Linked DNA regions of Mus musculus: regions 2, 3, 4, 5, 6 and 7 are each reported to be linked to region 1. The links are microRNA targets in miRTarBase. Many come from high-throughput screens and were not tested one by one. Region 1 holds a microRNA gene; each other region holds the end of a gene's coding sequence.
Evidence for each region. The annotated mature microRNA mmu-let-7b-5p reads UGAGGUAGUAGGUUGUGUGGUU and lies in region 1 at 1,910-1,931, opposite strand. An mRNA with a match to its seed (bases 2 to 7 or 8) in the 3' UTR can be bound and repressed. Matches are read on the target gene's strand: a 7mer-m8 pairs with bases 2 to 8, a 7mer-A1 pairs with bases 2 to 7 and ends in A, and an 8mer does both.

Region 1 (4,392 bases):
CAGAGAAGAGCCAACAGAATGTAGAGAGGGGCACAGGACATGTCAGAGGTCATCTTCCAGGAAGCTACCCTGACTGCAGAGCACCTCAGAGCTCTCGGATGCTCCCACGCTACCCCACTGGGTGGTCGCCGTGTGTCCTGTCCTGTGTCCCTAGTACTTGAACTCTGCAGAGCAGAGGCCATCTCCCACTGCAGCATAGGAGCCAGGAGGTGGGTGTGACTGGCCAGCATGTCATTCTGCTTGCACAGACACAGCTGGCTGTGGTAGCCAGAGGGTGGGCCTGTGTGAGGGTGAAGGGTTGGGGGCTGGGCTGTGCAGAAGAGTATGGAAGGTAGGCTGTGTGATGGTTTGTATATGCTTGGTCCAGGGAGTGGCACTATTAGGAGGTGTGGCCTTGTTAGGGGAAGTATGTCATTGTGGATATGGGTTTTAAGACCCTCACTCTAGCTCCCTGGAAGCCAGTCTTCTCCTGTTTGCCTTCGGAACAAGATGTAGAACTCTCAGCTCTTCCTATGTCATGGTATTCTTCTGCCATGATGATAATGGACTGAGCCTCTGAACCTGTAAGCCAGCCCCAATTAAATGTTGTCCTTATAGGAGTTGCCTTGGTCATGGCATCTGCTCACAGCAGTAAAACCTTAACTAATTCAGCAAGGGATGAAGAGTGGGCAAAGCTCTGCACAAGGGAGGGGAGGAAGGACTACTCCTCTAGGGCTGGAGGCATAGCAAGAGTCAACAGACTTCACCACTGACTACAGGATAAAGAGAGGTAAAAAGGTGACAATTTATCATCCACCATCGATGTTCCAAAGGACAGCAGGGAGGAGACAATGGGGCATGCCACGGAGTGTCTGAGTGTCCACTCCTGTGTCTCTAGCTGCCAACTCCTATACAGCCATCAAGACCCAGCTCAGATAGCCCCTACTTTGGGAAGCCATCCCTGTTGCTCTCAGAGAGTACTCAGAGAGTCCCTCTGGGTACTCTCAACCCTGGGGCTAGCACAGTATCAGATCTTTGGAAATGGCTGGCTAAGTTTGAGAGGTCTGGTAGCTGAGGGTGGATATAGAGGGGCTCTAGGGGTGTTTGGTCTGCCTAGGTGCGTCAATGGAGGTGTGTGGATATGCAGAGTTGAGGCAGATTGGGTTCAGGACGGGAGCTGGGACTCGGGGGATTCATTATGGGGAGAAGGCCAGGACATCAGGGTCAAGGTATCCACCCACGAGGGAGGCCTTTGGTGTCTGGTCAGGTAAGACTAGGACTTTACCTTCCTAAGCTAACACTAGCTGAGGGCTGACCCTCACCCCACTACCACCACCTGAATGAAGGCTTGGGGTCCCTGGAAGAAGGGTATATGACCATTTGGCCCAAGATTAGAAAGCTACATCCACAGCCGTCCCAATACTGTCCCAAGGGAGGCAGGCACGAAGGGACAATAGGCCAGGAATTTCTCAGATCTGGTTAGGACCACAGGCTGAGGGACACTGGAAGCCAGTACTGTGCTCTGAGACTTGGAGTCATAGGGTCTGTTGTTCCACTCATGTGGAGGGGCTTGGGTGTCCAGGGCTTGGGCCACTAAGGGGCACATGGAAGATGAGGGGAGGGTACTGTTCACTACCCAGAGCAGCTCTTGCTGGCAATGTTTCATGCATGCAAACGTGTCAATGTGTGGTTGGCGATCTCATGTCCTCTACGGCCAGTCTCCGTATTTCCAAAATGACCAAAGACCAGTTGTAAGTTCATGACAGAACATCCTTTATTTATACCCAGGTCCCACGTCATAGCCCCCACCCAATCTGTGGCTCCATTTAGCTTGCTGAGCGGGGGCCTCCATGTAGCTGTGTCCCTGGGCGCCTCAGGGAAGGCAGTAGGTTGTATAGTTATCTTCGGAGGGGCAACATCACTGCCCTGAAACCACACAACCTACTACCTCACCCTGCGGTGTCCGTGTTCTGGAGGAGGCCCAGCCGCTCCCCACCCACCCTGGCCACAGGCCACTAGAGCCATAGGGCACAGGGCGGGGTGGGGGAGGGGGAAGTGGAGACAGAGGTTCAGTGAGAAAGGCCTGTGCCTACCAAACAGATTGAGGAAGCCTCTGGTGTCTGAACCCATTGCCCCAGGGACAGGGGACAGTGGCCTACACGGTCCATCTGCAGGCTGTACTCATGGGTGTGCTAAGAATGGCTCCTTTTCAATTTCTTCTCGGAAGAGACGCTTGCTCGTCAGAGGCCTGACCCTGCGCTGGAAAGCCTGGGCAACTCTGGAACATAGTTGAAGGTCTAGTCCAGACCCTCTTTTCATGGAGACCTGTGAGCACAGGTCTGATATGGGGCCAGGGGCAGGAAGGCCCCTTCAGTGTGGGCCAGGGAGAGAAGGTGCCCTGAAAATGCTGTCTGTTTTCATCGCTATGCCCCAACCCTTATACAGATGAGTAACAGCCCAGAGAGGTCAAGGGACTATCCAAGGTCTCTGTCAGGCTCTTTTTGCATGGTAGTTATCACCCCCCTGTCCCTCCCTCAGTCTCCCCAGCCAGGGCCGCCGTTGTATCCACTGCAGATATTGCGGCCACTTCAGGAAAGACAGTAGATTGTATAGTTACCGCAGAGCGGGGCAGAGCCCAAAACCATACAACCTACTACCTCACCCCAAAGGCCGTCAGTCAGTCTTGGCGTAGAGCTGGATGTTGTGGCTTCTTGAGGTCCCTCCTAGAGGAAGAAGGAGAGCTGGGGACATGGTGAGCCCCACCCCCCACCCCCGACACAGGCCGCTCAGTGCTGAGGGTATTAATAGACTGGGATTTTCTCAAAATGGGCCAGGGACATTTAAACAAAATCACAGAGAGAGTAAGGGGAGACGGGGAGACGGGGAAACGGGGAGAAGAGAGAGAAAGCACGGGGCACTGAGCACAGGAATGGCCACAATGGGGGAAGGGTGTCATTTGTTAAAGGCCACCAAGGTCCAGGGTGCTTCCAGTGTCCACCTGGCTGAGACCCAGCCTCTGTCCACTCAACTCTAGCGTAGTAGAATCACCAGGACTCCTGCTAAGTAGTAGCCTTGGGCATGTACCCTCTTCCCCTTAGGCAGGAAGAGCCCCCCCCTCGTGGGCTCTGGTTCTGTCCCTCCCTCTTCTCAGGGTGGCCTGAGCTGACCTTGCTGGGGGAGGCTCAAAACAGTCTTTCCTTGTGGGAGGCAGCCTAACTCCCCATGGTGGCCAGCCGGGCGCAAGTGCAGACCCTGGCTGGACACTCATGGCCAGTCTGTCCCTAACGACTAGCACTTCCAGAGGCCAGCAGAGATCGCTGAAGAAACTGAGGCTCAGTCTCTGGTCTCAGGTAGCTCTGCTCTCAGAAGGGAAAAAGACCTGCTTCTTTCAGGCCTCAGACCGGTTTGCCCAGCATGTGGAGGGAAGCCCTGTGCCCAGACCTAGGAAGCCAGGCAGCTTTTGCTCTCTGCATGAGCCCTAGCGTCTACTGTCACGCCTCCTTTCCTCTCTGCCAAGGGTCAAGGGACAAGTCCAAAACTCCTGGGTCAAAATGAAGCCGTTAGGTCTAAGTCCACATTGTGGCCCCAGATCCGGAGTCTATGGGGCAGAGGAGCTTAGGAACAAGGTTCCCAGAGCGCTGGTGTGGCCTGGCCCGTGGTGGGCAGGCCTGTGATGATAGGAAACACTAATCTTCCAAGCCCCAGAAGGAAATCTGAGCCACTGGGGTGCCATCCCCTGCCTCAAGCCTGGACCCTTTCACTAACAGGCAGGTCAAATACCCTCAAGGATGGTCCCTGCAGAGGCAGCAAGGCAGAAGAGGCGTGGGAAGAGAGTGGTGAAGGGCCCCTTTGGTGATCCTATCTATGATGGGTGGCCCAGGTGAGAAGGCTGAGGGGTGTCCCACACTGCTTAGCCTCTCTGTAGGCTTGACTGGCCATGGTTAATCTCGTCGGTTCTTAGGCTGTGCCCGGATGTGGTGGAATAGCTAGAGACCACATTGGTCATCTCCATCTGAGCCCAGCACCTCCCTCCCCCTCTCCGCCCCCAGAAGCACTTTGAAGGAGGAAAGAGGTCAGACATCAACCCCAGGTCTCTCAACACTTCGGGTTCTGCCCTTGGCTGTCAGGATACAAGTACGTGGGCAGGTCTGGCTGGAAGGTCGAGACTGGCCCCTCTGACTCTGGGCACCATCATGCATTTCCGTGGGGTCCTTTTGGCTGGCCCCTGGGGATTCTCAGCCACTCTACTTAGCAGCAGGAGGCCGGTGTATGCCACTGTGTCAGCCCCAAAGCGCCTTTTCTGCACTTGGTGAGCCTCCCTGAATCTGGGCTTCATTGCAACAGAAGCCTTGCAGAGCCCAAGCTATGGTAGAGAAACACCAGGACACAAGCACCCTAGTTCTAGCAAGGACA
Region 2 (4,392 bases), not on the chromosome of region 1:
ATGTCAAGGCACTAAAGACTGGCTCATTTGAGTGACTGGTCTGTGTCTAGCCAGTCTACTAAGAAACAGGTAATGAGGTTTTTCAAAGCCTAAGTTACAGTTCCCTAACCATATAAAACCAAAAACTGAATAGACTCTGTAGTGAGAATTTTGGTCTCTTTGAAAAACACAGAAATATTATGGGAATCTTTTAATTTTAATCTCAAGTATGGGAATAAAGTGCTACTTCAGGCTTTCCAGAGCAGCTATGATTTACCTAGTGCTCAAGCAGGGAGCAAGTGTGGTTTCTGTGATTGTGTGACAATTGGAATTCTGGGGACTCTTCAGAGAGTATATATGCTAGGGCCCCAAGAGAGAGGGTAGGTTAGTGGTTTGTGGCTATTGGTTGCTGATAGCTGTGGTTAAGTATTCAGTGCACAGTGAAGAAACCAGAAAAAATTAGATATCCTGATAGCAAAGTTCAAAGTTGCCTCAAGGAACTTGACTCCCCAATCAGCAGGAAGTAGTCTAACCGTAACATCAACCATCTCCCCTTCTATCCTTTTTTCTCTCCTATGTAGTGTTAGGGGGTCGAAAGGGTGGAAGAGGAGGCTGGGTGAAAGGGAGAAGGGTGGAAGAGGAAAAGAACCCACAAGGTAGCCAAGGTCTGACTATAGTCGGTGCATCCCAGAAGTGTTTGTAGAATGGGTTTCTACGACTTTAAGTATACTTTGTTGACTGTGCGAAATTTGTGTTTATTGTTGATAAAAGCTTCTTATTTTATGGTTTTTTAGGAATGTCGGAAGAAACATAAAGAAGCCAAAAGGAAGGTGAAAGCAAATTAACCATTGTCAGCTTTGGTTTTGGAATTGAATGTGCAGACTGCTCACCAGCCCTTGAAAGAAATTAACCCAGAAAAGCATTCACTGACAAAGAAGATATTTCATAGTAGAAAAATATTCAAACCTGGATGATAATGTATCATTCTGATGACTATTTCTGTGGAATTCGTATACATTCCCTCCTTGATGACTGTGTTAAAATTAACTGAGTCAGTTGTGACACACAGTATAGCCTCAGCACTTTAGAAGGGGAAGTGGGAGGATCATTTGAGCCCAGAATTTGAGATCACACTGAGCAACACCCCACCTCAGAACAGCATCCATTCTTGTTCTTCACTCCTGACAGGAGGCTTACATGAAACCTTGTTTAATAAATGGTTTGATGTATTTGTTTAAGTATTTCTGACTATGCTAAATATTCTATACCTCTAATTTATCTTTTTAAACTCAAGTACAAATTAACTTTGAGTTCTGTATATACAGATGTAAGTTTCTGATGTAATTTCTGAAGACAAAATAGAACTTTCTAATAAATGGTTCATAATATTTGTGTTTATTCCTAATTAAATACTCTTTACCTTCATTTTGTCTTTTATTTAAAAAAGAAAAAGATAAGTTACAACTTAATTTTGAGCTATATACTTATATTTTGAAGACAAATTGCCCGAAATGTGGGATATTCAGACCAACACCTAAGATTTCTGTGAGGACCTGGGAAGAAAGACAGTCCAGTGTGTTCTTGACCTTAGCCTCATCTATTATGGAGTTGGGCCTGTCCCAAAAGTCCAATTAGACATGCGGGTATGAAAAATACTAATTATCTAAAAGACCACTTAGAGTCAGGAGTCAGATCCTAAGCCTAAGATAAGAGTGCAGGTTTGATATTTCACTAAATCTAGCCAAGATTTAACACAGACAGGCCTCCTATTAAAATGGACAGTATAAAAGGGTGTTAGTCCTAAGAGTCTTACTGAGCTATGATGTGCATCTTAGTCAGTGTTGTATTTATTCCTTGAGTACAGAAATCTATTATGATCTGTTCTTGTGTTGTTAGCCATTATTTCTTACTTCCTATGTCACACAGATGCTTGACTCCTATGGGGGGTTGTTGCTTTTAGTAAAATAATATACAGGAACTGGAGAGATGAAATCATTTGGACAAGTTAAAATAGACTACAAAGAACTAAGCAGTTGGAAGACCTGTTGTAGATTTCTGTTTCATGGATTTCAGACTTAGAGATTAAAAGCTATGTGGAAAGATACTTAAACCATATGTCATCATTTCTTAGCAAATGATCCTAGTAAAAGCCACAACTTTGCTCACGTACACTTCATTTGGTTAGGATTTCCTATTCTATAGTCATTGGCGTGCATTAGCTGGAGATAGAGGTTCTGCTTGGATGCCTGGCCCACTCACTGTCTATCCAAGGGCTTCTTTAAAGTGTGGCAATTAGAAGCCAAGGGCAAGTGTTCCCAGAAGCAGGAAACATGCTTCCAGTCTCTGGAAGTCTTGGCCAAAAATAAACTCAGCCACTGGTTCCATTTTCTATAGGTTAAAACAGTGGGAAGAACCAAAGAGCTTGCGTCCATACTTAAATGAGCCAAGGACTCCATTTCAAAGCATTGACAACTGGCCTTCCCCATTCCCAGGTCTCTGTCATGAGATGTAACGTGAGCTGCTGCTTCCAATCGTCATCTCTACAGTTTGCCTATCTTAACTCTGACTACTTGCATTTGCTGTCTTGTTTGGGGCTTTCTGCAGACTTGGCAAGCACTCTATCACTGAACTATATTCTCAGCCAATTTTACCTGACTTGCTCCTAAAAAAAAAAAAAAAAAAAAAAATTACTCTTGAATCCAAGTAGTATTTTGGCCACAGCCAACATCTTCCAGGATTCCTGGAACTGGCTCTGTAGACCAGGCTGGCCTCAAACTCGGAAGTCTGCCTGCCTCTGCCTCCTGAGTATTGGAAATTAAAGGTGTGCACCACCCAACCTTGACAGGTTTTTAGATTTGAGTTGGTTGGTTGGTTGGTTTTGTTTTTGTTGTTTTTTGGTTTTTTTTTTTTTTGTTTGTTTGTTTGTTTTTGAGACAGATTTCTCTGTGTAGCCCTGGCTGTCCTGGAACTCAATTTGTAGACCAGGCTGGCCTCGAACTCAGAAATCCACCTACCTCTGCCTCCCGGGTGCTGGGATTAAAGGCGTGCACTACCACGACCAGCGAAAGTTTTTTAATTACCTATTTTCTAGACGAACTGTTCCTTTACTTCCCAACAGTAGTTTATAGTGTTTCTCAATCCAATTTTTAAACAGCCTGGTCCAGTCTACACTACCTATGGGTACATAAGTTTCTTTCACTTTGTGCAGGGACCTTTGTTCTATTTCTGCACGCTGATCAGAGGATAAACATGAGGTGAACCAATTGGCAATTTAAAGAATGCAAAGCTTAAAAACTCCAAATATTTCTGGTTAATAAGGATACTCATAATTAAGAAAGCAAGAAGCACAGGCAAACACTGCATCTAATTTTCGACACCATAGGGCCTAGAACTGTTGAATAAAACACTCAACAGTTATCAAAATGTTCTAAAACTCGCCGAGATTTCTACTTCATTTAGGCCAAATCCGTTTTTTTGTTTTTGTTTTTCTGTCATTAATAAAATAGGCACTTATTTACCTAATTAACGCTGTCAATTTATCAAGGCCAAAACTTACTTTCACAGACTGGTGTCAACGTTCTCATTTGTTCTAGGCCGGATCCGAAGGGTACTAAGTAGATATGTAATGATACATAAGCAAAATTTTGAAATGAAAAGAACCATTGCAATGACATTCAATAAAGGGTTCAGATTATTGTCAGACCCTCTTCCCTTCTCTTGCCATTTACCACATGGTTAGTAGTCTCCAGGTTAATATGTACTGTTCCCAAAATAATTGTGGGAGTCACTTGTCAGAAGTTTCATATGTAGCATAAATTTTAGATGCCATCACAGCTGGGAATCTAACTCAGTTGGCAGTGTGTGGCTATGGTGCACAAATGGCCGGCTTATCCACCGCACCATATAAAAACAGGCGTGATGGAACATTTCTGTAACTCCCATTGTGGAGGCAGAAAGTTCTGCAGTTCAAGGTCATTCCTTAGCTGCTTAGGAGTTCCGGAGCCAGCAGGAGATACAAGAGACCCTGAGTCTAAACTAATTTTATATGGCGTCAAATGTCCAGATCTCAAATATACTCACATATATTTAATAATATTCACATATATTGACATATATTTAAGAATACTGGGGTTGGAGAGATGGCTCGGAGGTTAGGAGTACTGGCTGCTCTTCCAGAGGTCTCCAGTTCAACCCCAAGCTTTCACCATTCTGGCTTACAACGAATACATGCAGGCAGGAGACTGTGTACAAATAAACAAACCCTTTTAAAAAAGAGAGAGAGAGAGAGTACTGACATATGGACCCAGGACGAAAGGGTGTCTCTCGTTCATAGGCCAAGACTTAGAAGGCAAAAACTTTGCCACATTGAGTAGCCACTGACTTGCCGGGTTAGGGCTCTGGAGCGTCTTCTCC
Region 3 (4,392 bases), not on the chromosome of region 1:
CACCTCATTATTTTTTTGCTGAGCTTCCCTGGGTCAGGGAGGGTGAATTAGTAATGGCAGGTTAGTTAGGCCATGGCAAGTCGAATCTGAAAGTGATTCCTGCCCCTGCTGATGCACAGGCTCACCAGCCAGTTCTCTGGAGTGTAGACGTAACCCTGCATGCACCAACACTCTTCTCTGACTATGTCACACTGTGTGGAGATGGTGGAGGGATTGATGCAGATTAATTATAGTCTCTAATTAATTAAACTGTCTCTGAGTTAAGTAAGAGATGGGGACAGGAACACTGGTGCATGCCTGTGGTCTAAGCTAAATGTGGCAGGTTGAGGCAGCAGAATGACTTGGGTCTAGGACTCAAGGTCAGCCTGGATAACAAAGCACTGCCTGGCCTTAACTCTCAGTGGGGTCTGCTATGTAGCTCAGGCAGGCGTGCAAATTGTTAGGTAGCCCCATCGGGCCTCATCTGAGATCCTCATACCTTGATTCCCTGAGTACTGGGACTATAGGCACATAGAATTTGAGACCTTGATTCTCAAAAACAAAAAAAACAAAAACAAAAACAAAAACAAAAAACAAACAAAAAAGATGCTGGTGATGAACCTAGAGGGCCTGATTTGGCCAGTGAACTGTCTGGAGTCTAGATTTCTGCCCATAGCTGCACAGGAGAGGATGAGCTACCAGCCTTAGTTAGGGGCTGCCACTTTGATTGAAGCTGTGTGTGCCTCCAGGCAAAGGACACTGTTCAGACCTCCCAGAGACCTGGTTCACCAAAGGCATGAGCTAATAACAGGGAGTGTTTGGCAGCTGATCTTGGTAAATTGTTCAAAGCAGTAGTGTGTGTTGGACAGGACAGGCTGGTGGGCTTGGGGGCAGTGTGGAGTGAGACCAGCGTGGACAGGGCACAAGTGTCTAGGGCTGCAGGAAAGCGTGCCAAGCCTCTAATACCCTCCTGTTTGGCAGGGGCCTCTGCCATGGTCAGGAAGGTCACACTGAGTCTATTACAGTCCTGCAGAATAAGAACAAGATTGGTCTCCCTGGAGTACTGGATATCTTCCCGAGCAAGAGGCTGTAGGCTGAGGCAAGTGGAGGAAGGCCTAAAGACCAAGTGGGCCCTGGAGACATCCTTAAGTACATCTCTGGTGTCTGGTCCTTAAGTGAGGTAATCACACCTGACACACACAGCCAGGGAGAGGACCCCATGGCAGGAACTGTGGAGTCTGCACTGGCGGGCTGAGGAGGGGCCTGAGGAGAAGTGGGTGTGGAAGCCTCCCGTTGCAAGGTGAGTAGTTGGTCTCCAGGTGAGATGGAAGTAGAGGGATGGAAATGTATATTAAATCCCACAGTTGCTGGGCAGTGGTGGCACATCCTTAACGCCAGCTCTCAGGAGGCAGAGGTAGGTGGATTTCAGTTTTAGGCCAGGTTGGTCTACAGAGTAAGTTTCAGGACAGCTACCTAGAAGGAGGACTACACAGAGAAACCATGTTTCATAAACCCAAATCAAACCCCACCATCGAGTTTTTACTTGAAATCCTTTCTCTCTACCTGGTGCTGAGATTACAGACATGTGCCCCAGAGGTGCTGGGAATCTGACTCAGGTCCTTATAGCTATGTAGTAAGCACTTTACTAAGTGGGCCGTTTCCCCAGCCTTCAGACTGTCTTTTTTTGACTGGAGACAAATCTCAGGTGGAGGCCCAGGATGGCTGGTAATCAGAGCCAGTTAATGACGAAGATGAAAAGTGGGGAGTTGCCTGCCCAGGAGGTGCCCAGCGTCTCAAGAGGCAAACCTGGCCTTTGCTTGGGATACCACTTTCATCTGTGGCTCTCACTTGGGGTACCGCTTCCATTTGTGGCTCACTTGGGGCACTGCTTCCATTTGTGGCTCACTATAACTCATTCTCATGAGCTCAGAAGAACTCAAGCTGAGAGGTAGTACATGGCCCACTCTTCAAGCCTTCCCCAGGGCTGGGGATAGCTCCTCAGCAGGTCCCCTCCAAGTCTTGATCTAGGCCAAGCAAACACCATTGCCCATGAGTTACCAACCAAATCCACAATGTCCCCAGCACTTGGCAGGCGGTATGTGGTTTGTGGCAGCGCAGACTATTACTGACACACAGCAGCTCTGTACCATGAGACTACACAGGGTTTATTGAGGGAATCAGATGAGCAGAAGACAGCGGCAGGCACCAGGCCATTACTATCCCACAGGGGTGGCTGTTCCACGGCTTGTTTGCTAAGGGAGAGGAGCATGCAGCTCTATGACATGATGAGGACAGCTCTGGCCAGGGTGCAGCACGCAGGAAATTCTGCCGTTCCTGGGGACATTAGAGTGCCACTGCTGGCATGGCTCCTGAGTCCTGCTAAACTCTTCTACAGGAGGTGGCTTTGATGCCATCTAACTGACCTGGTGCATCATGCGACACCAGGTGAGCAACCCTCAGTGGTGCCGCTGCCACTAGAGCATGCCTACATGGTGTCACCTCCTCCTGACATCTGGGCTGGCTCCCAAGAACTGTGGACACAGGTTTAAGTTGGGAAAGAACGCAGGGTGCCAAGTCTGCCAGGGAGGTAGAGCGAAGCCTTTAGCCTGTTCCGCTCTGCCACAGTCAGAGCTGGGTGAGCCTTAGCAAGCAGCAAGAGACTAAAGAGCAGGCAGGCCTCACACCTGCCCCTAAAAGATGCCACAAAGCAAAACAAACCCTGCTGTGACTTGCACTGTCTTCAGAGGGTGGCAAGAAGTTCCTGCACATATCCTGGCTTGGGGTGACTGCATTTTGCTGAACTTCATGGAGCGCACACGGGATCACGCCCACTGGAAAGCTCTGAGCAAGGCAGTGTGCTCTGAAAGCAGATGGTGCTGAGGCCTGGAGAGCAGAGCAGGGCAGAGGTATATCATCCAGACACAGTTCTCCACAGCTGTCTAAGGTCAGGATGGTAAGAGCAGCATGGGACAGGCCTGCAGGCCACCCATCCAGCTTGGTTACCACCCAAAGTCCAAGCACTCCTCCTGGGAGACCTCTGAGGAAATGTGACAGTCCTGGGTGCTTTGGAAGAGTTGTCATCAAGTGCATCTGAAGGATGGGAAACGCCTGCAAGGATGGGAAGCATTTGGGGTGCCAGCTGCTCCTCTGTTGCTCCAGAGAAGACTCACTTCAGCAGGACTGGCTGCTCAGTTTTTGCTCTTTGATTTTCCTGATGACAGAGAAATGTGCATCATTACAAAGGTTTATTTAAGCCAGGCATGGTGGTGCACACCTTTAATCCCAGCACTTGGGAGGCAGAGGCTGGTGGATCTTTGTTTATGGTTAGCCTGGTCTACAGAGTGAGTTCTAGGACAGCCAGGGCTATACAGAGAAACCCTGTCTCAAAAAATAAACAAACAAAACGCTAAAGGTATATTTACGGTCTCTGTGTGAGTTATTTTGGGTTTTTTTCGTTTGTATTTGTTTGCTGACTGTATCTCACTATACAGCTGAGGCAGGCTTGGAACTGACCATACAACTGGCCCAGGGAGTTGGTCTTGGCCTCTGTGGTGCTAGGTCTGCAGGCACGGCTAGTTCTTTTTTTTTTTTGGTTTTTTCAAGACAGGGTTTCTCTGTGTAGCTGGCTGTCCTGGAACTCACTTTGTAGACCAGGCTGGCCTCGAACTCAGAAATCCTCCTGCCTCTGCCTTCCGAGTGCTGGGATTAAAGGAGTGCGCCACCAGGCCTGGCTGGCACGGCTAGTCCTTTTCCTCAGCAAAGACAAAGCCTGTTCATTGCCTGGAGGCTGTCCTGAGATCCAGCAGACCTGTAGGTGGGGGTCTTTGTTATCTAATATATGGTCACAAATCACCCCTAAACAGCTTTTGGGATCAAAAATGTTAAGAGTGGCTGGGCTGGGTACTTCTGACTCACTGTGATGCTGAGGAACAACATCACAAGGACCACAGTCATTTAAGGGAGGAACCACTCCCACGACAGTTCCTGCTCTAATCTCTTCTTCAATCAGTTTTTGTAACCTGTGTCACTCTTGGGGTAGTTTTGTGGTTCTGGGTATTAAATGCAGGGTCTCACACATCCTAGGCAGGTGTTCTACCACTGAGCTGTATTTCCAGTTCCTCCCTCTAGTAATTCATTAAATAAATCACTGAAGTTGTTTTCATACCAATAAATGTTATCTGTAATAGCCTATGGCTGTTTTATTCATCATTTTATTAATTTATTGAGACAAGGTCTTTCTATGTAGACCAGGCTGGCCTTGAACTCATAGAAATCTGCCTGCCTCTCTCTCTGTGGCGATGGGATTAAAAGCATATGCCACTAAACCTAGTGTATTATTTTAATTTTTTTAAAGATTTATTTATTTATTTTATGTATACGAGTACACCATTGCTCTCTTCAAACATACCAGAA
Region 4 (4,392 bases), not on the chromosome of region 1:
TGGCAGAATTGGTGTAACTTACAATTGAGATTACTGGTAGTTTAGGCTTCTTGCATGGCTGTACTTGGCAAAGGCATAGTTAGGGTAAGATTCTTATCATACTACATGAATAGTGCACCATTTTAAAGAATTGTTTTCTCTGGCTGAAGAGCCTTTGAGTGAAAAGCCATGGGTTGTTGGGAAGCCATAATTTCTCACTTAAAGAAGGGTGGAATTGGCTACACAGAGAAACCCTGTTTCGAAAAAACAAAACAAAAGAAGAAGGGTGGAATCATGATCCATATGGTTTCTGGGAATTGAACTCAGGATATTTGGATGAGAAACTACTTAGCTGTCTCCCTAGGAATAGGTGTTTTAAGGAAGTAACTGTTCTTTAACTATACCACACCCAAAGTTTCATGATTCTTTTCAAAGGAACAATGAACTTCCAATTCTACTTAAGCTGAATTTAGGGTTATGCTATGAGGGAATTGGTGAGTCCCTGGGACCAGGCACAGGCTTGGTGAGAAAGAAGTGCCTCTAGCCCCTGTGCCTAGTCTTGAAGCAGGGACAAGATCTGTTGGTGAGAAACTGAGACCTATGTCAGACGCTGTTGACTGACAGCAGTTTGCAATAATTTCCCTGCCATCTAACAGCTGTTGCTTTGCCTTTTCCTGAGGACTAGCAACAGACTCCTTGGAGAAGTGCCACTTTCACCCTTAACAGCACGATTTTAGTTATAAATGGTAGGGCCAGTGAGGACAAAAGGGTTTTTTGTTTGTCAGAAAGAACAACCCACAGTTCAACAAAAGCAAGTTTGGTTTATTTGAATGGTTTCATTAAATAAGTCTACAAAGGTAACAAACTGAAGCACAAAGCGCAATCTTACAGAAGCGCAGCCCCCGGAGTTAGTGCAAATGTACAGGTAACGGCTGCTGAGAAACCCCAAGGTTTGAATTCAGTTTTAAACAGTGTACATTGTTAAATAACGTAAGGAAAACATTTATAATTCGGAAAGTTCTTTTTAAATGTGGAAAGATACTCAAAGTGTACTATTAACACAAAAATAATTTAAACAGTTCAGTAGCACTAGCTCGTTTCTCTAGGCTTCAGTTATTTCATCCACAGGAGGGGGAAACCAACAGTAAGTAAACCTCTGTGAAGGGGGAACAGACCTCACTCAGAATGACTAAACCAAACACCACATGCTGCATTTGGCTCCCTCTACTGCTGGTATGAAGCACTCAGTCATCCTGTAACCTGCTTCACTCCCACAGTACCTCTTACCGCTCCCAAAAGGAATAAATGAGTCAACACTTTGGTAGCACGACCTGAAACAAAAGCCCTGCTCATTACACTTCCCTCTCCTGAAACTTTCAGCTCTCACTTGTATCTTTGGGCCTCGACCAACTTAAAAAGAACAAGACTCTTACAGGAAGAAGCCTTGCTAGTGTGGCAACTCCTGGGATGTGTCATAAAGTTGGAAATGTGTCAGTTCCCAACTCAAGGTGAAGGAGGAAGCACCCAAGAAATGAGTTCTACTTTTTCCACTTTTCCAGAATATTCAGATCCCAAACAGCCAATTAGGTCCCTATTGCCAGAAAATCAGATAATACTGGTTGGTTGCTGTTATTTGGGGATATGGGTATGAAAATGTGAGAGTATTAGCTCTAATATAGAAGTACAGGCAGCACAATAGATTCTGACTGTGCAACCATTTGGACAGCTAGGAAAGGAAATAAGCACTTTTTCCTACAATGCTTAGAAAGTTAGAAGTGGGTTGAATTCCCACAATACAGTACTTAAAGCAGAGAAAGTGTGGTGGTACTTGTGCAACAAGAGGTGGGGGCAACCGAGCAGGTTTCCTTAGAGCAACATTTTCCATCTGTGACTTGGCACTGTCATCCTTCCCAACTTAAAATCTAGCCCACTCCCCTCTTTTTGTTTAATCTCTTCTAGATCTCGTTTGTTCACTGGCCAAGCATCACTTCAAACAAGCTTGTCCCCACATCTTCAGTCCTTATCTTTCACACACAGCTCACAACCCTCCTCATTCTTTCTGAAACAGAACTTTGTTTTCAACCACTGATGCCAACTTCACTGTGCTCACCTTACACCTGCTCTAGGCAAAATTGAAACGACTGAGAAAACAAAACAAAACAAAACAAAATAATAAACCAAACCAAAACCAAAAACACTTTCATTTTCCCTTTGGCATATCCACTGCTGGGGTCATGTGGACCTAAGATTTCTTTCCACATACCCTTTGGTGACCTGGGGTCTGGTAAGTTGATGCTAACAGCAGAAGCAATAGAAGTCCAAGGCACTAAAATATCCAGCAAGCAATACTGGGAGAACAGAAGTATTCAAGTACAGTAATTTATACAATTTTACATTCACATTTATTTATCTAATACAATGGAAATACAAAGGAAAAAGTTAAAGTGTCTTAATAAGTAAAGGACAGAGCTAGCTTTTGTGTGTGTGTGAACCTTTTAAACCTTTCAAATTTTTCTCTTAAAACTAATGTTGTCCAACAACATTTATATATCACAGTGTTTCCACATCAAAACTGATGGCAAAGTTACATGTCCGCAGGGAACGTTATTGTTTTCCCTAATTGCTAATGCTGCAGTCAAAGCTGCTAATATCTTTTGCTTAAAGCATTAATGACCTATGTAAGAAAGGGTTGCAACCCCAGTCCCCTGGTATTTTTCACTAGGTTGTAAAAGGGGGGGAAAAAGTGGGGGTAGGGATCAGAGTGGGAGAGAACCTTTGTCTTAAGGTGTGCATTGTTGAGGGAATAAGGAATTTGGGACACATGTCAAAATTAAAGAGCTCTGCCCACTTACAGATACAGATCGGGTTTGGCTTACATTGAGCTCTTGGGGCTTTCTGGTAACAAGGTTCTCTTCTAGTTCTAGGCCTTACTGAGGGGTACAAAAACAGAAAAGCAGTCTCAAGCAGCCCCTCCACCAGAAAGCTGTTCATTCCTTCTTTTTTAACTCCAACAAACGGAGAAGGAGGGTGGTTCTCCATTCTGAGGGCTCAAAATGGTATTAAAAACATTCCCTTCTGGCAAGAAATAACCAGTTAAATGCAGCACTAGTAGTTAGTATATAGGCTACTTCCCCACCCCCCCACCCCCCCAGCATTCCATTTCCTGCCCCCAAATCTACTCAGTTAACATCCTTGCTGCTGACTAGGTGGTCCGTAGATTGGAACCTGGGGGGTTGCTGATGGACTTCTGCAAATTGCTGATGTTGAAATTTTGCAAGGATGCTGTTCCTACAGGTTGGAACTGGCCAAGTGGCTGCGGTGCTGGACCACCTGTTCCACTCCACTGAGTGCCAAATGGGGCAGGTGGAAAACCATACTGCTGTGGGGGACACATGGATTTGGTGAAGTGACCTAGAGAGGTAGCAGATGCTGCAGAGATGGGGGTAGAGCCACCCAGGTTTGAGGTCATGGGAACACACAGCTGCCCAGGAGCAGAGAACTTCCTTGCCATTCCAGGGCCCTAAAAACAAGAAAGTAGCAATGAGAATTTGATGAAAAATGGGTGATACTATAATGCTGTTGTAGAGCTGAGATGTTCTAATCTTAGCATTATCAAAATATAACGAAGCCGCCCATATTTATTGGCTTTACCCTTAACAAGGAGGAGTGAAAAGTAGGATCTGAGATGTGTTTTATGTGCACATGCAGGTAGTGCAGGATGTTGAAGAAAAAGGGTACCAAAATGATTGCTGCCTTGTTTTCTCAATAATAGAATCCACAGGCTACTGAAGATGGTAGTGGTAAGGATGGCATACCAGCCTTGGCTGTCCATGACATGTCTGTGTATAGTCTGGCAGGTTAGGAAAAGGGAAGACTCACCTCATAATTCATGTGTCCTTTGCTGCCTCTCCTGCCTGAAAGATTCATGGCATCTCGGGCCCAGTTGTCTACTAACTTGTGCAGGTCATCTGTGAATGTGCCCTTCCTACTGGAAGTCATAGCAGGAGGCTGAGCCTGGGCAGCCTGGCTACTCACTGTTCCTCCAACGGTATTTGTGCTGCTGGTCCCTAGAATTATAAGTAACACAATATTAGCATTAAAGTAGGGTTCTGGGATATAACTTTGGGGAAAGGGGAAAATGTCATAGGGTAATGATTGGCAAGCCACGGAATGGGGAGAATATTTGGGAAGCCATGCAGGAGAGGAAGATTTTGAAGTATTACTTATCCATTTGCTTTTGCACAACAGGTAGTGAAAATGGTTTCTCTTCCACAGCTTGTAGATAAGGCTAAACAACATGGAGTGATGGCAGGCATGAAGGGAAGGGCATTTTCTAACACTGGGACTGTCTGCCAGTATTCTATTCCCAGCAACATACTGATGAGGGAGTGATATGGTCCACGGGGCTGGCTG
Region 5 (4,392 bases), not on the chromosome of region 1:
CCCTTGAGAGTCATGAACACATCAGCTAGCAACAGAAGTAACAAGAGTGATTCTTGCTGCTATTACCGCTTTAAAAAAAAAAAATCAAGACTTGGAACGCCCTTTTACTAAACTTGACAGAAGTTCAGTAAATTCTTACCGCCAAACTGACGGATTATTATTTATAAATCAAGTTTGATGAGGCGATCACTGTCTACAGTGGTTCAACTTTTAAGTTAAGGGAAAACTTTTACTTTGTAGATAATATAAAATAAAAACTAAAAAAAAAAATTAAAAAATAAAAAAAGTTTTAAAAACTGATACCCAGTTAGTGTGTGTTTATGTTGACTCCTGCTGCTGTGGGAGGTAGACCCCAGGGAAGACAGGCTGGTTGTGCTGCTCCAATCTCTGAGGAGGTGCTGACCAAATGACTTTTCTTCTTCACCTTTAGTTCTGGCTCAAGGTATCTAGAAAAAGTCAAGACTGTGATTCCCTCTCGGGTGGATTAGCAGTTGGCTTCAGCAGAAGGCAGGCTGGCCAGAGGTGGGCAGCGTTCAAAAGTCCACATCTGCAAGCAGGTGCAGACTGTAAGCTCACTTTTCCTTGTTGATCTGAGTTATCCCAGTTCAGTTCTGTGTTACCAGTAGGGGGCAGAAGCTCCTTCTTTACAGAGGAATCTGACCAGGCTCAAGGTGTGGCCACAGTGGCTAAGCACTTGTCTAGTAGCACAGAGCCTTGTCCCTCCTCAGTGTAGCCAGGGATTGGGGAGGGGGGGGCAGCACAGAATGAGGCCAGGCTGCCCGAAAGGGAGGCAGGCAAGTGGGATGGGTGTGTGGATGCAGAGATCATGGTTGTAATACTGGAAACCTTTTTAATTGACATACAGCAATTTGTACATTGTAGCAAAATTTGCATTATTCAAGAATAAGTTACTCATACAGTACATAAAACGAAGATTTGCCAAATACCTTCTGCTGTAATGATAGAAGATGAGATTCCCTGTTTCTGTGGTGACAATGCTGCTTATTCCGGCCACACACTGGCCATTAGATGTGTCTTCACTAGGAGGCAGTGGGTGACAGTTTATCACTTGGTGTTTGCACCAAGGTAATATTAAACAAGAGACTGAGCCCTCAGGGAAGGGGTGAAGCCTTACTTTAAGAAACTTAGGTAAAGATAGTGTTGTGTGGCCCGAGATTGTAATGATCCCTATTCCTTTCTCCTACACCATCCAGAAATGATCAGAGGCAGAAGATTTATACAGATAAAGCCATATGGATTGCTGGTAAAGTCAAGGCAGGTTAGTTGACCCAACTCTTTGGTGCTGGTGACTTTTAGTTTGTAGTTGAGTACTCAGGAGAAGGAAGCAAGGGTACGGGGACTGTCGAGCCAGTGGTGGCCAGTAAAGACTGCTGGGGTGGGAACGGTGCCTGGTGCCAACACACTGGGAGGGCATCTGGCCTGGAGCTTCGCAAACCTGCCCGTCCCCTTCAGCCAACTGGACCTACTCTAGCAGAAAGGAAAGGTGTTGGCTTAGTGTTGTCACTCTGTCCCACAGTCACGAGAATACCTTTTTGCCTTATGTTTTCTGTTATCTTAGACACTTCTTGAAAGGAAGCTGTCCACAGTGGGGGTGGAGGTGCTGGTTTACAGCGTCGGGCAAGTCTCTCTTCTGAAGGCCCAGGGGAAACAAGTGCCCCAAGTTTGAAGTTAGTTTAGCTTCTGCCAGGTGAAGGGATACAGCTGTGCACCCATCCTATGTAGATTAGAGGCGAATCTGGACCACTGGTTGGATATTGCTTATATCTTTGGTTCATACCTTCTATGCAGTGAAGGAAAGCAAGTTACCTTAAAGATGGAACACGAATCTGCACCTGTGTTGGACCCACCTCGGTCCGTGAACACAATGGGGAGTGTTCAAGAGGAGGTGCAGCTGCTTCCCTCCCCAAAGCCCACACCCCTGCAGAGTACAGAGTAACCAGAGGAGGAGGTCAGTACTGCTGGCTTCAGCAGGGCAGCGGAATGTTTGCCCTGGAACATGTCTAGGAGTTAAGTTGTGGTTCTCTAAAGCCACTGCTGCTGCAAGCACTACCCACTCCCTGTGATCCTGTCCCTTAGGAACAATCACAGTATTGGCACTGTCTGGATGGAGAGATTGTATGGATGGGGACCCTGCTGCCACCTGGGACAGAGCTTCTACACAACACAGTGCCAGCTCCTTTTTTGGCTCACAGAGGAGCCAACCTCAGGGGTAGAGGGTATAAAGATGACCTCAAGCCCTTCGCCCACCTGTACCTCCCAGCCTCTGTAAAGCTGCTGTAACCCAGAGTCCTTTTTGTTAATGCATAAGGCACTGGAGTGGAATGTCCCTTGCCACCCTCCTCTCTGCAAGCTGCCTGGTTTTCCCTGAAAGGGTGACACACTTCATTCTCTACATTAGGGAGGACAGTGGCTACCCCACAGCAGGCAACTGTCCTGAGGGAGCAGACAAGGACACTAGCATGCTAGCTTGGCTCAGGGTAAGCGAACCAGGGGTGCTTCGCTGCCCCCGACTTCAGAGTGACAGGGGGGTCCTAGTAGGGCAGTGCAGTGAATAAGCTTTAATATTAAATGGAAACCTGAATCCTTTAAAACAAAACAAAAAAAAGTACTCTGAGGTAAAATGTTTAAATCAATTTTGATCTTTAAGCTTGTCCCTCTGGCAGAGCTTCTGTCGTAAAGCTAAGAGTAGGAGCAGGATCATGAAGCATCCATCGCCTGTGGCATGGAACCCATGAGGACTTGCCACAGATCTGAAGCTACAGGGAAGGACACCATGTGAGAATCCAGGGACTGTTAGTGTTTTGTGCTTCCCGATGACCCTGCCTGGTAAGAAGTCTGTCATCAGCTCTGTCAGTTTCCACTGCCAGCTCTGGGCCTGTAGCCCCACCTCCTTTTGGGTTGGGGACTAGGCCTAGGGTACCAGCTAGTGGCACCTGTGCACAAGAACTACATCTGTAAACAGTGGGAGAAAGCCGGGGGCTAGCTCTGGCTGACAGGAAGCCTGTGACAGCCTTGTGTGTGTTGGAAGCGGGGCACATCTGAGCTGGGGAAGGCTGACAGCAGCCTATAGTTCTCTGGAGGGGAGGAAAATGGTTCCATTCACACGTCTGCCTCTCTGCACAGCTGTGAGAGAGGGGTGTACTGGTTGTCAATGGCCCGAAGGTGGCCCCGTGAAGAGGAGTCCATGTCATAGTCCGAGTCCCGGGCACTGCTCACAGACTCGAGCTCCAGCTGCCGCAGACTGTTGGCCAGTTCCTCAGGAGAAGGCACCAGGTGGAAGATCTGCTCAGGTGGTGTCACTTGGCCAGGGAGAGCCTCTGCACCATGGCTGGGGGGACAGCCAACAGAGCTGAGGTGGGGATGACCCAGCTCCGAATCCCAGTGAGGAAGGGAAAAAGGGAAGAGGACGGTGTTGGAGGAACCTGGAGAGATGGCATGGATGTGGATGAGTCTTAAAACCGAAAAAAGCGCACCAGAAAAGCAGCTTTGGGCATGTGTGTACTTGCGGTGACACCACCCTTGACAACAACTTTGTGGTTCCTACCTGGTGCCTGAGAGAGGACTACCACATAGCCAGAGAGTCGGACGTCACAAGCTGCTCCACATTCCAGTGGGATAGGAGAACGCTGGAAGTGGCGGAGCATATCTACCACCGAGGGGAAGTGCAGGTGTTGCACCCGGCACTGTCCACGCTCTGTGAGCACCAGGCGTAAGTGCTATGGAAAGGGGTAAAGATCAGCCTGCTGCCCAGGCTGCATTTGCCCCACCCTGGTCCACCAGTTCCTGCCCCTACCTTGGCTCTGCCCTGTAAGTTGAATGTGAGTACATACTCTCCTCTCCGGGACTCACTCTGCCGCACCAGGAACACGCCGTGGGCATCAGGGCCCTGGAGCTGGACCAGCTGTGCAGCCCTCACCCTGGAGATGGGGCCGTGGAACCAGGGGTAGCAGGATAGGAAGTGATCTGTTTTCTGGCAGGCTGGGTCCAGCAACACCCCAGGTGAAGCACCTGGCGGAAAGATGGTGGTGGTGACCCGCAGGGGGGCCACATGTCCAAGGACACCCAGAGACCAAGGACCTGGCACATACCTTGGTCCAGGGAGTCAGTGCTTCCCCTTGGGGATCTAGCTGGGCCAGGCTCTGCCGCTAAGGAAAGAGGTAACTCGGTGTCCGGGTGCTCCAGCCTGTAGGGGAAGAGCTGGGTAAGAAGGGAACCAGCAGGGATTATCAAAGGGAACCAAGGATGAGTGGGCAGGGACAATCCTCACCCAAGGCCTGTGCTTGCCCTGAGCTCTGCCAGCCATGAGTTCAGCTGCTGTTCATCTCCCACCTCAAAGATGATGTCTGTCTGGTCCTGCACCTGCAAAAAGGA
Region 6 (4,392 bases), not on the chromosome of region 1:
GGCAGGCAGGCCGGCCGGCTGGCCGGCCCTTTTAGCTGTGAGGGGTGGCCTTGAGTTTAGAATGCCGTGGGCCTCCCTCCCAGTCCGTTGCTGGAAGCAAGCTCCACGAGGCTGACTAGGCTTTCCTTGTTTAGGACAGGCGTCCGAGTCTGGCTTCCTCGCCAGCCTCAGAGTGGACAAGGAAGGTGTGAGGGAGAGGTTTCAGCACTCACTCCTCTTTCTGCTTGGCCCCATGCTGCCTTTCTCCACCCACCCTGCAGACCTCCGCCCAGGTGACTCAGGGTAGAGTTCTTCACCCTGAGCCTGTGTGTACAGCGGGCTTGCCCTTCCCTTTTGCAAAAGGTTTTTCAGAGGGAGGACAGTGTGTCCTGGGTCAGCCACTCTCAGGCAGTGCCCAAGTCTTCTAAGTTCTTGTCCTGTCAGAAGGATCTGGAACGAGAAGAGTGTCAGTGTGCATTCATGTTCTTGCTCTAACTGTGGACCGTGGGATAATGAGTAGAAAATACACAACAGGATGTAGGCCTAGTAAAACCTGATTGTTGGCTCAGTGGGGCGGGTAAAGGTGCTTGTTGCCAAGCCTGACAGCCTGTGCTTGATCCCTTGAACCCACATGGTGGGAAGAGAGAGCTAACTCCTTAAGGTTGTCCTCTGACCTCCACACGCATGTCATGGTACATGTGCCCTCACCCTTTACATACGCAGAAATAAATGTAAACATTGCAGTCTTTGGGGATATATAAAATTGTCCAAACAAGCAAACCAGACTTCAGGTGAGCAAGAGTGTGCTTTCCACCCACCCTGACCCAGGTGGCTGGCCTCTCGTGGCTCCATCCTTAGACAAGCCCTGCCCACACCTCTAACAATGCCTCTATCGGTTCTCAGAGCTGCCGTCCTCATCAAGCGTTTCCTGCCTGGCCTGGTTTTTGCTTAGTGAGAGTGGATCTTTCCACACATTGGGTGTAGGCTTCACACTAGAGTGAAGGCATGCAAGCCTTATAAGGACATGCCTCTTTAATAAAGGTAGGGGTGACAGATTCCAGACAAACACTTGTCACCTCCCCTATTGATAACAGACGTAGGCGCCACTAGATAGAGGTGACCTGGCAGGATGAGGATTAGCAGAGTAGGACTCAGTAGCTGACCTTGTATGCGTGTTCTCGTTCCAGTGCCTCATGGCGTGGGAGTCCATTATTCCACTACTGCAAGAGAAGCAAGAGACTAAGTAGGTTTTGGAACAGAGACTCTTCTGCCTCCACAGGGCATGGAACCCTGAACCAGAATGTCCCTGCAGTGCCGGAGAGGTCGCCGTGGGAAAACAGCACAACAGCACCTCTTGTGTGTGTACTTTCTACCCCCGCCCCCAGTTGTTTTCAGTTAGTATTTATTCCTTGGAGTCTATGAGACTGTAATCATCTCTCAGCAGCATACCTCCGTATTGTGAAGGAACCTCTTAAATGGAACACTAAAAGACTTGAAACTGAGGGGCAAGATAACCCCCACATGACACGTGACATCACTTTGGGGACAGCCCAGTTGCCATTGTGGGACAGAACCCCAGTCCTGCGTTTCAGGGACATGGGGAGACATGAAGAAGGCAGCTGCAGCTTGCTGTGGAGACCCCGTGGCTCTGCACTTTACCCGTGAGGGCATTAACCTGACCCAGCATGGAAGGAGGTGTGGGTACCTTCTCAGAAAGTCCTTAATTTACAGTGGCCTGTAGCCTGTGGCCGTGGCCGTGGCTGTGGCCTGCTGCCTGCTCATGATGAGTGGCCTCTGTTGACTTGTTTCTGGTTCACGTGGGGCCACCTGAATCCGTGTCTGTGAGCATTGACGCTTGAGTGAGCACGCCAGCGTCCTTGTCCTTATGGGATGCCTCAGGATCTTGTTTCTGACACCAGAATGCAACAGATGAGAAGCTTTTTGGTGTGAACTGGAAAAAAAAAAAAGGTGCATTTTTCTCCGTGAAGGTCTTAGTGTATGTGTTTTGCTTGTTAACTGTCATCGTGGTTGGGATTAGACCTGTTTGGAAACAGCTGCTGTCAGTGATGCTCCGGTGTGCCAAGCCCCAGCTCCGATGTCTGCTTTGTGCAATTTGCCTTTACCTCACCAAAAATGTCTAGTTTAATCTTCCTGCCGTGCCCGCTGACTGTCTGGGCAGCCTTGCAGTGGGGGCTGATGTGCTGTCTTATTTTTGCTGTCACAATTTGTAAACTCAGTGTGACTTCTATATGAGTGTTTTAACCCTCAGCATTCTGTGGTCAGGAAGATAAAAGCATCTGCAGGTCCCTCCAAGACGAGAAGAGCAACATCATGCTCTTTGCTTCTGTCTATGTGGAAATCTCCGTTTGCAGCCAAAATCTGGGGGCTGCCACTGTACTTAACATCTTCATTTGAAGCCTTTCAGATTTCCATAAAGCCAGCAATCAGAAAGGATCTCTCTTCCATACCACTGTTCTTGCTAAAAGGAAGCTGCATATTTGTGTTCTTTCATCTGTGGCTCTTTGCTAAAAATCCGTAGATCTGAGCTGCAGGTAAACGGAAGGGGCGTCGTTGTCTTTAAGGTGAGGCGGCCAAGCACTGCTCCGTATATAAGTTAATTTGTAAATCCGGAGCAGACGGCATGCTAAGTCCTGTAATTCCCTCTAACATTGAGTCAGATACATCATGGGACATCATGGGATGGCAGCTAGATAGCATGAAACAATTTATCTTCTCATATTTGACAAATTTGTGATAGAAATAATAATTCCCACATCTACCGGTACTTGCCTAAACCCTGACTGTGCCATCCCAAAGGCCTTGATGTGAATTTTCTTTGGTACAAATAGGAATGGCCCACTGAGGCAGAGGAGTAAGAGTGGTCCATACACCCAAATGCCAGCAAATTGGCATCTCATTCTACCTCTAAACCACTGGGTTGGTATGGGTATGAATGCTCAGAGCTCACCCGAGCATGCTGGTAGAGTCAGGGTGTGTATTTAGTCACCAACCGGCCTCCATTGTGTGTATCAGCAAACACCAGACTCGCTCAGAGGTGATGTCCATCTTTGAGAAACATGAAGCTTTGCTTTGTGGATTGTATGCCTGATATGATGAATAGTCATGTGATGATACATGGGAAGAACTATAGAAAGAATTATCCAGAAGCTAAGATTTGATGGCCAGCTGGTTGCCAAAACCTCAAGTCAATCCTGTGTGCTGGTTAGTTATGCAAGAAGAAAGCCCCGTAGAAACAGCCTCCAGCTGCACTGGGAGACGTAGGGAGGGAAGCAGGGTCCACAGCCATTCCCTCATGAGAGGTGGCTCTCATGGCATCTTGCAATGTTTGTCTTGTTTTGTTCATTTGGCCAGTAAGGAATGTCCCTGGGCTTTGAGTTTCCAGAAAGAGATGGAATAATGGAGACTTTCTTTCCCTGGGGACCAGTGTCAGTGGCAGAGCCAGGGACACCCATGCACAAGGAGGCATGCTTGCCCTTCTCCTTGGGATGGCAGCTGGTGAGCTGAGGAGGCTGGCCTAGAGGAAAAAAGGCAGCAGACAGTGAAGAGGCCTTCCTCCCTCCCTGCTCCACAGGCCCCCTCAGTCCCTGGGAAAGTATGCACAAAAGAGACTCCCTACATAGCTCAGAGACTACAGTGCCAAAATGCCCCAGAGAGGCTCCATTACTTCTGGAGCCTACAAAGCTGTTCCCTGATGTCACAGGTCCCTCCGACTCATTTTCCAGGAGACTTTGCCTTGAGGGTGCCACAGGTGGAGAGATAAAGATAGCTTTTGAAGCTTGAACACATGCCAGTGAGATGAAAGTTGGCCTTAGCAACTGCCCAGGTCCTGAGAAATGGAGGGCTTGTTCATGGGGTTAGAAACCTGCAAAGGCAGCCGGGCGTGGTGGCGCATGCCTTTAATCCCAGCACTCGGGAGGCAGAGGCAAGCGGATTTCTGAGTTTGAGGCCAACCTGGTCTACAAAGTGAGTTCCAGGACAGCCAGGGCTACACAGAGAAACTTCGTCTCGCAAAACCAAAACCAAAACCACCACCAACAACAAAAAACAAAAGTCCAAAAAACCAAAAAACCTACAAAGGCAAAAGAGGTTTGAGAGCCGTGGTTGTTTAGGACAGTTGTGGTTTGTAGCAGGAAAGGACACTCCTGATGTTGGGAATTTGCAAGAAGAATCTGGGCTGAGCTGCTTCAAACAAGGAGGCTTTGCTCTGGAGTGAGGAGGGAGTGACCCCTCAGCCTGTGTAGGGTCCAGTTTTATGCTCTCGGAAGGCTCAGCAGTGATTGCTGCCGAGTGGGAAGTAGCTTCTCCCAGCTGTTCCTCACCTCACCAGATATTTTCCCAAAGCCGAAACAAGAAAAGTCAGCATGCCTGGGGCTAGAAGCGGAATGTAAGATA
Region 7 (3,000 bases), not on the chromosome of region 1:
ACGTTTGACTGAAAATCATTTGATTAGAGCCCACTAATTTTTTATCTGCCAGTGATTTTATTTTACAAGTTCTAATGGGTTGGTGTATTTCTCAGAAGGGTCAAAAGAGTCAAAAGTCTTGAAATGCAAACAATTTGGGGTTTCTAATTTTATAGTGTTATAAATAATGTTTCTGTTATTTAGGCAACAATTTTAGCAGTTGGAGCCAAGTAGAATATAGATGAAGGTTATAAATACAACATCGATGAAGAGTAGCAATTTTGTAAATGTATCCTGAAATTAGGCTTTAAATAGTAACTGATGATACAGTTATACAACATACTTAGCAATAAGAACCTTTCCGTTTTGTACTAACAGGATGAATTTTTGCTGTGTGGAGTCTTTCTAAAGATTATGCATTGAAAGATATGAGCAGTTTATAGACCTATTCTAGTTTCAATGTGTCTAGAGGCACCTACCTGATTCTCTCGAACTACCATACTATATTAACATATTATTGCATTTTTTTCCACAGATGGTATGGAGTGAACTGTAAAAACAAGCATGCAATCACATCAATGCAGACTTATTTCCTTAAAATGTCATACTGTATATGATTTATTATGTTAACACTCAACCACATCATATTATTTATGTTCTGTATATCTTGAAAAAAGTGCTGCTTGACTGACATCGTCCTTTTTCTTTTGTAAGAAATCAACAAGATAAATGCTACACAATTTAAAAAAAAATTAAAATTCTAACATTGTCCTTAAATGTTTGATACTTTTCTGATAAATAATCTAATATACAGCACCCTTGTCCTCGTGTTGTTATTAGCATAGGATGTTGTATTCAATCATCCTTCTTCCCCGCAAATAAGTTCCAAGGTATTTTTAAAATTCCGCCATGCTGTTAGTCATCACAAGTACAGCTACCATATTGTAATTTTTGTTTTCTTCTTAATGGTGCAATGCTTGCAAATGGGAAAATAATTTTTTCATCTAACTGGATCTTTATTCTTTAGCTTCCAATAAGTGTAATGAAAACTATTCTACCAATATTTTATTTCACCCATAGATAGAAGATTTGTATTGGCTTTGTGACATATTTAAGATTACAGAATTTTATAATATTTCAATATACCAAAATTTAAAGTAATCCAGAGAAAGAGACTTTCACCTTGGAGTTAAGAGCACGGCACGGGTTCTCTATCACTCTCTGTTTCATAAGTTTGTACCTCACAGAATGCATAGACAGGAGTTTAATATAAAGAATTAGCTCATTTATGCAGAAAATATCATAAACACTCCCTTTTTGGCAAATCAACATAGTTAAGCAGCCCTGAAACTGCCAAATTAAATTATGTAAAGTTGTTTTTTTAAATTAAATCAAACTAAGAGTTTGTTTTTAGGTTATTATTCAACTGTGGTTGTGATTTAAAACCTGAGGCTGTGCACTGGTTGTTAGCTTAAAATTACCTTTCCTTGTAACATTGTGCTTCCATTGTATAACAAATAAAAATTAACAAGAACTAGAAAAATTTTGTTGTTGACAGTGCTGGGACATACAGACAAAAATACTAATCCATGTTATCTACTTATAATATCAGTTTATGTAATATCTAAAGGGATATAATGGACGTTAGAAAATGCGTACTTATGACTGAATAACCTACAGCCAAAAAAGTTAAATATGTATCAAATAATGTTTAATTGGATTTATTATATGCACTATATACAGATACTAAAATGTCTCAAAATTGTGCCCTACTTCAGTTTTGTTTAGGCAGGTGAATCCTTATGGAACAAATAAATTATAGAATCAAATAGAGAAATGAATGAAATCTTTATGATTCCCAAAGCAGTTAAATGTTTGTAATAATTTATTGGTAAATGAAGCTACAATAACCTAATGGTAGGATCTATATAATAATATAAGGTGTCATGTCATGAGTATAATCCATACACATGGCGCCTGTATCAAACACTAAATTTTAAAATAGCCACTTGATACAGTATTACCAGTATAATCTCAAACATTCCAGAAACTACACTACAATGTTTTTTCAGTTTGTGTTTTCTAGGGCGTATGTTTCCACAACATGTTATCTTTGAAGATAGACAGGTAGAAAACATTGTTTGTAAACCACTAATCTTCGATTAAGCTTAAACACATTAGGTCATCACCTAATCCTGTGACTTGTGATAACTGTCCAATGGCAAACCAATAAAGTCTATGACTTCAAGAAAAACAAATGTAGGGGCGGGGCTCTGCATACATTTCTTCAATGTATAAAAACAACTCAATACCATGATCCAGTGAGATGATTAACATTGTTAAGGCTGTATATTCAAGCACTGTATGTTAAAAGAGCAATGGTGTAAAATTTAGGCAATAAGAAATGTCCTGCATTATGGATGGTACAGTAATTAAAGAATGATGCTTTCAACTGCTGATTGTTGGTATACACTGGCTACTGAGAGCAGTACAGTATGGGTGTTAATAAAAGTAGTAGAAGAAGATGGTTGGAATGATTTCTGAAAGATGATTGCCAGTTTTCTCCAGCAGTCAGCCTGGTAGGTAAAACTCAGAACTTGAAGCCTGAATTTTAAATGAAATACTCTTTTTTCTCTTCGGCATTGACTTGGCTGCCTTCAGCATTGATAATGGCTGTGTCGGCATCTGGTGCATCTTCGGCTCCTTTAGCTTCATTTGTTAGATATGTTCCTGTGAATGTGGGAAGAAGGATGTTAGTTCTGGGCATCTAACAAAATAATTAGCAAGTAGAGAAAGCATTTGACCGAATCTTGGTATATTGGACAATATTCTGAGAAGTGATACACCATACAACTTGGATGTTTAAAATTCTGTCTTTCTCTTTAATTTTAAGAGATGTATTTTATGTGAGACTGAAGTACAATTATTTAAAGGCCAGAATGATGCTGACATGACTACTACATCATGTTTGCTTCTTTAATGATGGATTGATTAATGAGACCATAGAAGAAATTTAGTTCT

Region 2: miRTarBase lists Nol8 as a target of mmu-let-7b-5p. The part of its 3' UTR that is shown has no 7-base or 8-base seed match.
Region 3: the mRNA of Flywch1 is a reported target of mmu-let-7b-5p. Seed matches in the 3' UTR shown: 7mer-m8 at 2,564-2,570.
Region 4: miRTarBase lists Wnk1 as a target of mmu-let-7b-5p. The part of its 3' UTR that is shown has no 7-base or 8-base seed match.
Region 5: miRTarBase lists Sh2b3 as a target of mmu-let-7b-5p. Seed matches in the 3' UTR shown: 7mer-A1 at 2,633-2,639.
Region 6: the mRNA of Snx30 is a reported target of mmu-let-7b-5p. Seed matches in the 3' UTR shown: 7mer-A1 at 2,100-2,106 and 7mer-m8 at 2,899-2,905.
Region 7: miRTarBase lists Cadm2 as a target of mmu-let-7b-5p. The part of its 3' UTR that is shown has no 7-base or 8-base seed match.

Annotation. Positions count from the first base shown.
Region 1 is chr15:85,704,864-85,709,255 of GRCm38, reverse strand. It overlaps Mirlet7b (microRNA let7b), which reads right to left and starts at 1,937; the gene lies at 1,853-1,937. Lncppara (long noncoding RNA near Ppara) reads right to left here. Exons shown (of 2, transcript NR_110483.1): 2 at 1,732-2,702. It overlaps Mirlet7c-2 (microRNA let7c-2), which reads right to left and starts at 2,653; the gene lies at 2,559-2,653. Gm34622 (a long non-coding RNA gene) reads left to right here. Exons shown (of 3, transcript XR_384306.3): 3 at 1-385.
Region 2 is chr13:49,677,613-49,682,004 of GRCm38, forward strand. It overlaps Nol8 (nucleolar protein 8), which reads left to right. Exons shown (of 17, transcript NM_001271397.1): 17 at 774-1,404. The coding sequence ends at 824. Among named protein-coding and RNA genes, the nearest start is that of Iars, 2.3 kb to the right of the region's middle.
Region 3 is chr17:23,750,674-23,755,065 of GRCm38, forward strand. It overlaps Flywch1 (FLYWCH-type zinc finger 1), which reads right to left. Exons shown (of 8, transcript NM_001357994.1): 8 at 2,122-3,190. The coding sequence ends at 3,168. 9530082P21Rik (RIKEN cDNA 9530082P21 gene) reads left to right here. Exons shown (of 3, transcript NR_015472.2): 3 at 1,005-3,392. Among named protein-coding and RNA genes, the nearest start is that of 9530082P21Rik, 3.6 kb to the left of the region's middle.
Region 4 is chr6:119,923,189-119,927,580 of GRCm38, forward strand. It overlaps Wnk1 (WNK lysine deficient protein kinase 1), which reads right to left. Exons shown (of 28, transcript NM_001199084.1): 27 at 3,859-4,046; 28 at 781-3,499. The coding sequence ends at 3,182. Among named protein-coding and RNA genes, the nearest start is that of Rad52, 23 kb to the left of the region's middle.
Region 5 is chr5:121,814,651-121,819,042 of GRCm38, forward strand. Sh2b3 (SH2B adaptor protein 3) reads right to left here. Exons shown (of 8, transcript NM_008507.4): 4 at 4,289-4,380; 5 at 4,110-4,204; 6 at 3,815-4,029; 7 at 3,566-3,737; 8 at 831-3,443. The coding sequence ends at 3,121. Atxn2 (ataxin 2) reads left to right here. Exons shown (of 25, transcript NM_009125.2): 25 at 1-300. Among named protein-coding and RNA genes, the nearest start is that of Mir7031, 2.4 kb to the right of the region's middle.
Region 6 is chr4:59,897,742-59,902,133 of GRCm38, forward strand. It overlaps Snx30 (sorting nexin family member 30), which reads left to right. Exons shown (of 9, transcript NM_172468.2): 9 at 1,167-4,392. The coding sequence ends at 1,226. Among named protein-coding and RNA genes, the nearest start is that of Slc46a2, 15 kb to the right of the region's middle.
Region 7 is chr16:66,660,503-66,663,502 of GRCm38, forward strand. It overlaps Cadm2 (cell adhesion molecule 2), which reads right to left. Exons shown (of 10, transcript NM_178721.4): 10 at 1-2,709. The coding sequence ends at 2,591. The region is part of intron 2 of 1700010K23Rik (RIKEN cDNA 1700010K23 gene); the gene reads left to right. Among named protein-coding and RNA genes, the nearest start is that of 1700010K23Rik, 4.9 kb to the left of the region's middle.